Oryctolagus cuniculus: one gene and its partner. The protein of the gene in region 2 interacts with the protein of the main gene of each other region in a biochemical or structural test. Links are inferred from orthologs where the notes say so. Each region holds a gene or a part of one and is shown on either strand. Other genes may lie near its edges.

The links.
Region 1: the proteins of FLNC (region 2) and XIRP1 form a complex in vitro, tested with the Homo sapiens proteins (2 studies listed by BioGRID and IntAct, with this or other methods). The link is inferred for Oryctolagus cuniculus from reciprocal best matches to the Homo sapiens genes FLNC and XIRP1.

The regions. Positions count from the first base shown.
Region 1 is NC_091441.1:108,152,407-108,156,683, forward strand, and holds the start of XIRP1 (xin actin-binding repeat-containing protein 1), read left to right. Parts: upstream 1-1,290; 5' UTR 1,291-1,450; intron 1,451-4,128; 5' UTR 4,129-4,132; coding exon 4,133-4,277. UniProt on the Homo sapiens protein: Protects actin filaments from depolymerization. Required for correct cardiac intercalated disk ultrastructure via maintenance of cell-cell adhesion stability, and as a result maintains cardiac organ morphology, conductance and heart beat rhythm.
Region 2 is NC_091434.1:165,030,138-165,033,938, reverse strand, and holds part of FLNC (filamin-C), read right to left. Parts: intron 2,176-3,801; coding exon 1,927-2,175; intron 463-1,926; coding exon 365-462; intron 238-364; coding exon 87-237; intron 1-86.

The DNA of each region.
Region 1 (4,277 bases), on a different chromosome or scaffold from region 2:
CAAGTGCTTGGGCCCTGCACCCCATGGGAGACCAGGAGAAGCACCTGGCTCCTGCCTTCGGATCAGCGTGGTGCGCCAGCCGCGGCGGCCATTGGAGGGTGAACCAACGGCAAAGGAAGCCCTTTCTCTCTGTCTCTCTCTCTCACTGTCCACTCTGCCTGTCGAAAGACAGAAAGACAGAAAGACAGAAAGACAGAAAGACAGAAAGACAGAAAGAAAGAAAGAGGTGGGGAGAGCAGGGAGCCGGGGCTCCCACATGTCCCAGCCACCGCCGCCACCTGACTGCTACTGACTGCACGGAAAAAGTGAGCCATGCCTAAGTGTCACCCCCGACACTGAAGGAAGACTGTGCCTGCCAGGTGACAGAGGGCACCTGCTAACCCTTAGACACGGAGCTGGGGCCAGGCCTCCCATCCGGGACAAAAGCCCCTGTCACGTGCGCTGTGCGTGGCCCTCTGATGTCCTCACCAGCCTGGACTGAGTACGGGGACCTTGAGCCTGCCAGGCCCCTCGGGCTCCGGGCAGCAAGGAGCTGCCCCCTCCCCCCCACGCACACTCCGTCCATGACTCGGAAGCGGATGACTCGAGGGTCAGAAATAACCCCACCGTCAGCCCCCGAATGCCACCCCTCCCCTCCCCTCCATTCCCAGAAAGTCTGGGCCGTGAGTCAGAGAGAACAGTCCAGAAGGAGACAAGGCCACAGATCCACTCCATGGAGTTCTCGGATAGATCGGGGGCCTGGGCATCGCCACGTGCTTCCTGCAGGCCATGCTGGACCCAGGGCTGCAAGGAGCTGAGCCGTGGGGCCCACGGAGGAGTGGGGGAGAGAAGATTTGGGGCACAAGGGAACGGGAGAACAAGAGCCGAGCCCCACTCAGGGGGTGACAGAGGGTGATGCCCCCTTGCGGGGTCTCGGGTCTCCCAGCACAGCGGGCACTCAAGTCAGCAGGAGGCAAAGGCCAGTCCAGAGAGGACAATGGAGACACAGCATTAGGGACCGAGGCTGCCCAGGTCCGACGGCCCTCCTTATTCACTCCCTCAAAATAGTCCGGGGCGCTCCCCACCCCACTGCAGGCTGAGTCACTGACCCCTTCCCCGGGGAAGACCGGGGATGAATGAAGCTCCCCTTCTCCTCCCCTGCCCGAAGGACATGTAACTGACTCCCCGGGATGCAAGAGTGACTTCCACAGCCCTAAAAATAACCGAACCACTTAATGCTCTGAACATAGCCCGCCCGCCCCACCCTGGCCCACCCCCAGCCAGCGAGATAAAGGCAGCTGCCGGGGCTGCCAGGGGACACAGACCCAGAGCCAGGGCTGCAAGAAGGCACCTGACGGCGGAGCCCACGGAGCAGAACCAGCCCCCGGCCAAGAAGCTCAAGAGCAACGGCAGACCCCCGGGCCACCCTGCGACAGTCCCCACGCCCCCCACCAGCCAAACAGGACCCTCGGTGAGTAAGCTGCCCGCTCTGTCCTTCCATGGCAGGACCAGCTACCAGATGGCAATCCCGTGTGGATCCTGCGGGATAGGGTTAGAGGGGTGGCTCGGGTGGGGGGGGGCACATATGGGCAGTAGGTGTAGGGCAGCGGATGAGTCTCTGATCAGGCTGTGCCCACCTGGGCCTGGCGTGAACCCTCTGAGTGGCCGCCGCGGGCCCAGGCCAGCAGAAGAAATAGGTCCTCACCAGCCAGGCACAGTCCACAAATGCTTTTCAGGAGCCCCTCCGAGACTCCCTCGCAGGAAGGTGCCAGGCGGGCCCAGGGTCTGGAGGAACCAGCGACAGAGAGGAAGAGGGCGTGGGCCACAGGGCCCAGCAAGTGGGCCCAGCGTGCAGGGCTGAGACAAGCCCTGTGCCAGCTGTCGTGGGTCAAAGTCCTAGCATATTTGGCCCCAGGGATAACTCCCTGGGCTGGACTGAGCCCAGCAACCCCCGGATGTGGCCGAGAGCCTGGGCGTGATGACCGCCCCAAGCCAGCGTCTTGCCCAGTGCTAAAGCCCTGGGGGCCGAGCTGCGGGCTCGAGGCAGGGCCAGGGACTAGTTCTGAGTCTGCCCAGAAGTAAAGCTATCCGGGGCCGGCTGGGCGGAGGAGGAAGCCTGGGGCAGAGATGGGTGGTTCTGAGAGCCCAGCCGAGCCCTGGCAGCCCATTCCCTGGGATAGCTCTTGGGATCGACCTCACCCTAAGTCTTGTCCCAAATCTGAATTCCACCCTCACCCTTCCCCTGCCCTAGGAACCTCAGGCCAGACAAAGGTGCAGGAGATGAGGGGCAGGAAGCTGCCTCTGCCTTCCTGAGCCCCCACAGACAGCTCCTTGCCCCTCCAGGGACCTGTTTCCCTCTCTGAGTCGAGTCAGTGACCTCTGAGGTTCCCTCGGTGTGACTCCCTCCCCTGCATTCTGGGGATTCCTGGGGGTGGGGGCGGGGTGGAGCTGGTGGCTGCTCGGGCCACACTGGAGTGACAGGAAGGGGCAGGTCTGCCTTGGGCAGACACTGAGGTGGGACTGTAGCTGCAGGTCCCAGAGCTCACGCTCCCCAGGGGCTCCCACACCTCTGCTGGACACGGCTGGCCGGCTGGGCAAGTGGTCAGCTTCCCCTCTCCTCTTTCCGAGACAGCCATAGAAGGAGCTCCCGCCCCCACCTGCTGCCAGTGTCCCTGCACCTGCTCCACCTGCGAGTCCCTTTCACCACGGGAAGGTCACTACTTGACTCGCAAGCCAATGGCCTGGCACCCACTCAGGAGGCAGGATTGGGGAGACCAGGATGACAAAGAGGATTGGCTGAACCACGAGCAGCCCAGGTCCCCACTGGCTGAGCCCTGGGCTGCTGTTCTGAGGCCAGGACCTCAGCTATATTTAGCACCAAGTGTAGAACGGAGCAGTGGGTCAGGGTCAGTGGGGGAGGCGGTTGGGGGGGGGCGGTGAACATTCTTTCCCTAATGGCCTCTGGGAACTATCAAGACACCTGTCACAGGACTGATAAGACAGACGTGGGATGGAGAGCAGGGGAGGGTTTGAGGGCCGAGGGGTAGAACTAGGGAGAGGCCACGTCCTGGTGGAAGCTGATTCACGTGGGAAGAAAGGAAGCGGAGGACCAGGAGCCAGGTGCAGGCCCAGTGATGATGGAGGCCTGCAGGAAGAGGTCTCAGCTGAGCCCTTAGAATGCTGCCTGTTTGTACGTGGCTGGGGAGGGGTCTCCACGCGCCAGGGGTGGGGCCTTGGGCCCCCACCCCTCGGGTGTCACCTTCACATTTTCCTGGGAGAACCTGCTGGGGGACAGAGGGGCACCACGCCAGTTAGAAAGTTTCCCACCTCCCACCTTCTTTTTGGGGACCAGTTCCTAATCGGGTCTAGGGACCCTGAGCCGGCAGTACCTGTCACTCACTCACTAGGATCCGACTCTGGGCCCCAGTTTCCCCAACTGTAATTACAAAGGGTCCTGGTTAGCCCCCATAAGCCCAGATCGTCTGAGTCATGGGAGTACAGCACAAAAACCCTAACCTGGGATTCAGAATTTGGCTCTGTCTGACCACAGGACATCTGGTGAGCAATCCCCTTCTCTGGGCCTCCACTGCTTCCGCTGTGGCGTGGGCTGCCGCCTCCCGGAGTCTGGGAAAGGTTGGAGGGAGTTGTGAGCCAAGGTTGGGCAGAGTTCCCGGTCCAAGAGGCAAGTGCGCCCTCTGGTGTTCTGCCAGGGGAATTTCACCTCTGTGGGGGAAGCCCAAACCTCAGTTTAGGGAACTCCCTCTTCATGACTAAGACTCTTTAAGTCAGTATTCCCCGGGGCCACTTCCTTGGGAATCTACCAGGGAAAACTGAGTTTGCCAAAGGGGAGGATGAGACATATTCGGTTTTCCCGCCGGAGGCCTGGACATCCTTTGTGGGGTTGAAGGAACTAGCTTTGTGGCCAGCAGTGCTCCCTAGCAATCCAGGTGACCCCAGGGAAGTAGAATCCCACCTGGATGGATGGGTCCACAGGTCTGACTTCAAGATCTGTTGCCCACCAACCATACAGGTGGCAAAGTGAGGTACAGGCCCAGCTGACCTGGCGAGGGAGTCTCTAAGCTGCTCCTGGGCCCTGTCCCCTGCCACTTGTCCCCAACCCGAGTCTCACTTCTGCCCCCTTCTCCCCAGAAGGATGGCCGACGCCCAGACCCAGCTGGCTCCCTCCCCAGTCATCCCCACGGCGACGGCACAGGACCTGCCCCTCCCCCCGCCCCCAGCCCCGGAGGACCTGCCGCTGCCGCCTCCCAAGGAGTCCTTCTCCAAGTTCCACCAGCAGC
Region 2 (3,801 bases):
GGGCAGAGGCAGAGCCCGGCTCACTCAGAGCACCCTCTACAGGCCAGGCGGCCAGCGGGGAGGGCTGGCAGGGGCTCGGCACATACCAGGCCCATAGGCGAAGGCCTTCTTGGGGTTCAGCTGCTTGGAGCGGACAGGGGCTCCAGGTTTGAGCTTGGCCTTGGGGAACTGGGACAGGTAGGTCATGACCGAATGCTCGTCCACGTTGGGGTCCACGATCTCCTCGGGTGCAATGACCTGTCACGGGAGGACAGCTGGTACATATGAGGCGCCTTCCTAACCGGCACCCTAGCCCGGTTTCCTTGGAGAGCTGACCTCCCCCCCACCCCTCCTGCACCCCCCCGCACCCCATCTGCGAGTGTACCTGGGGCACTCCGAGCCAGTCGTCCGCCTGCTGCATGGCCTCCCGGGCGTTCTGCACGGGCTGGTTGGGGTCCCAAGCCTCCCAGTCGGGGCAGAGGCCTGGAGAGATATGGAGGGAGAGGGTGGTCAGGGGAAACTGGGCAGCCAGAACTCAGAGCATCCGCTCCCCCGGTGTCCCCAGCAGCCGAGGGGCTCGCACGCCTTCCCACCCGGCTCTCAGCTCCTGACGGGCCAGGTTCTCGGGGCTGTGGCCACCCGCTGAGCTACCCATCACTGTGCAGAGGCACTGCAGCCCTCCCTACCAACAATGAGGTCTTTCTGCCCCAGCTGATGCAGGCTGGCACCAGCCCCGCCAGCCGGCCTCCTGCCTGCCCAGGGCCCAGCACAGACCCCTAAACACTGGAAACCCCATGAGGGTGTCCCCCCATCCCAGGCCCCTCTGGCCTCATTTAAGATGCCTCAAGGGTAAGCAGAGGTCAGAGTCTCTGTCCCACCTCTGTCTCTGACTACCAGGTGTCCTCACAGCTACCCTGGGTTCCAGAGCCCTAAGCACTTCCCATGCCAGGCCTTGGGACTAAGGCTCCCTTGCCCTAAGTGCCTGCTTGGGGAAACTGAGGCATCGAGGGGCCTGCTGGGAGAATATGCATTCTCCACCATGGCCATCGAGAGCCCAGCCTCAGGAAGAAAGGGAGACGGCCCGAGGCCTCCGGTCAAGGGGTGCGGGGCTGGGGGGCGCTTGCTAGGGCCATCGCTGGAGGGGGCGATGTGCGCTGATGGGGAGGGGGCGGCGGAAAGGCTGGAATCCGTGACCGGCTGGAACAGCTGAGCTCACCGCTGGCAGCCATGCCGGCTGTGGGCACCGGTTCAGCAGCTGGGAATGCTTCCCAGGCAGTGGGCCCCCCCTCCCAGGCCCTGCTCCCCGGCTGACCCCTGGGTGGGGGAGGATTCCCCTGAGGGGCTGTGGCTCCCTGGAGGTGGGGCTGCCCATCCCAGCGAGGAAGGAGAGATGAGGAACGCTCAGGAGATGAGGTCAGAAAGGGCTCGGGGGGTGTAGGGGGCGCAGGGGGGCTCTTGCCTGTGCTGCCTTAGTTTTCTCAGGGCCCAAGTCTGCCCCGCAGGACCAGGTCATGGCCTACAGCCAGAAAGGGCAGGGCTGGGTTACACCAACCTCAGCCCACATCATCCTGAGCCCAGTCTCTTCCCAAAGCTGCCCCGGGGTCTCACCACACACAACCTTCCTGGAGTCCACCTCCTGGCTGTCCTGCTACCTATCCTGCCTGGGACAAATGGTGCCTGGGAGGCAAAGCACAAGTCCATGGAGTAAGCAGGCAAGGCCCTGGGCTCCAGGTGCGGTTCTGCCACAGGTAAGCACGGCACTGGTCCCCCTTGGACTTCACTGTGCTTATCTAGAAACTGAGGCATCCTAGACCTTGCCTGTCGCTGCCAAAGCTGGCCTAGCCTTCAGGCAGTCATTCTCAGCCAGAAGAGGGGCAAGCCCCACAGGAGGTCCTGACCCCAGGTGCTGCCCTGGGCCTGAGCACACCCGTGTGTTGGCCCACTCACCAGGAGCACAGTTGTCCACCAGGGCACCAAGAGCTTTGCCGTCCTGCCAGTCCCGGTTGAAGTTGGTGATGGGCAGCTGGGGCACCTTGTTCTGGATCCAGCCCAGGAGGCGCTGCTTGGGCGTCTGTTTGCGGGCATCCTCGTCGTCCTCATCCTCCCACATGGGCATGGAGATGGAGTAGTGCAGGATCAGGGTCCAGATCAGCCCCAGGATGAGCTTCAAGTTCCCATCCACGATGGCCTTGCTGTCTGCAGAGCACAGGGGACACCGGGCGGGCTCAGGAGGGCCTCCCGCTCCACCCAGCCCTCACCCACCCGACCCCCGAGGCGGCCTGCACATACGCTCCCCACCTGGAGAACAAAGCTCCTTCTCTCTCTGACCCCACAGCAGGTCCCATCACCTCCTCTCTGGCACCTGAGGCTGGCTCCTACCTAGGCAGTTATCTGTGTGTGTTTGTCCCTTCTGGTTCGGTGTGGCTACTTTATCGAGGTATCTATGACATACAACAAACCTCACAAATTCGAGTATAATTCGATCAGCTTTGACAATGGGCATACCCATGAAGCCGTCACCATAACTGAGAGTTATAAACCCATCCGTCACCCTCCATGGTTTCCTGGACACACCCCTTTATAATCCCTCCCTCCTTCCCTCCTGCCTGTTCTGGAACCCCCTCCCCAGGCAACAACTGGTCTTGCTCTCTGTGGCAATACATTGGTTCCCATTTGCTAGAGCTGGATCTGAGTGTAATCGTAGAGAATACACTGTTCTGGGTTGTTCTGGCTTCTTTTGCTCTAGAAATTGGGTTTTCTGTTTCTACGCTGGGAGCCCAGAACTTGGTAGAGTCTCAGCAAATACTGGTTGAATGAATACTGTGAAAACTGCAATGGGGAAGACCGGGCAGATCTGGCCTGTTTCACCCAGAAAGGGCTTTTGGAGCAAAGCGGTTCTGGGAGGAGGCTTAGAAGTGACGTTCTCAAGTGCTGGGGGCCAGTGGGACCTCCTTTTGGGGAACCTTGAGGAAGGTTCCCCAGAGATTAGTGGACCTCACTCCCCTCTAACAGCCAGAGGGTAACCTCCAGGAGTGGGTGGGGCCCGTGTGGCTCTCTGGAACCAGCTCATTTGTAAGGGACAAAGCCTGGAGCCTGCTTCTAGGAGGCTGGGAGGGGGCAGAAAGCTCGGCTTGTTTACTGATGTTGCCTGGGAGATGGGAGAGGGTGGGGCATGAGGCTCCCCCTTAGACATCCTTTCTTCTCCCCCTCCTCCAGATCTTGGTGTGGGGGGTGGGGGGTGCCAGGAGACCAAGGGCCTGGGGAACTCCGGCATCCCCCACCCGAGCCCCACCTGCCAGGAAGGGCGAATGGGGGTCTGCCTGGCCCTGGGCCTGGGGCTCTGACTCCTGGGCGCGCGCGCGCGCACACACACACACACACACCCCGTCCTGATTCATCCTTCCTTCCCCAGCTGCGCCCCAGCCCACCCCTTTCCCCTGGCTCCACTGCAGCACAATGGTTTGGCAGCTCCCGGATTCCATGACACACTCACGGCCGGCCTCCCGGTGCTTGCTGCTTTCGCTCTCTGTCACACACGCACACACACACACACAGGTCCACGGCACTTTCACACGAGCTGTGACCTGGGGCCCGCCCCTGACAGCCTCCCCAGCTGAGGCTCACGCACCCAGAAGGGCTTCTCGGAACCCTGGGAGGGAGCCCGTGAGGCTGCCGGGGTCGGTGGTTCGGGGGTGTCATTCATATTTGCTGGAGACAGGGCTCGCTCCCCAGCAACTGGCCCAGGGCCAGACAGCAAGTGGTCCTGGCTTTGGGGCAGCAGACTGGCCGGCAGGCCAGGGCCCAGAGCTCCACTCTGGGAGC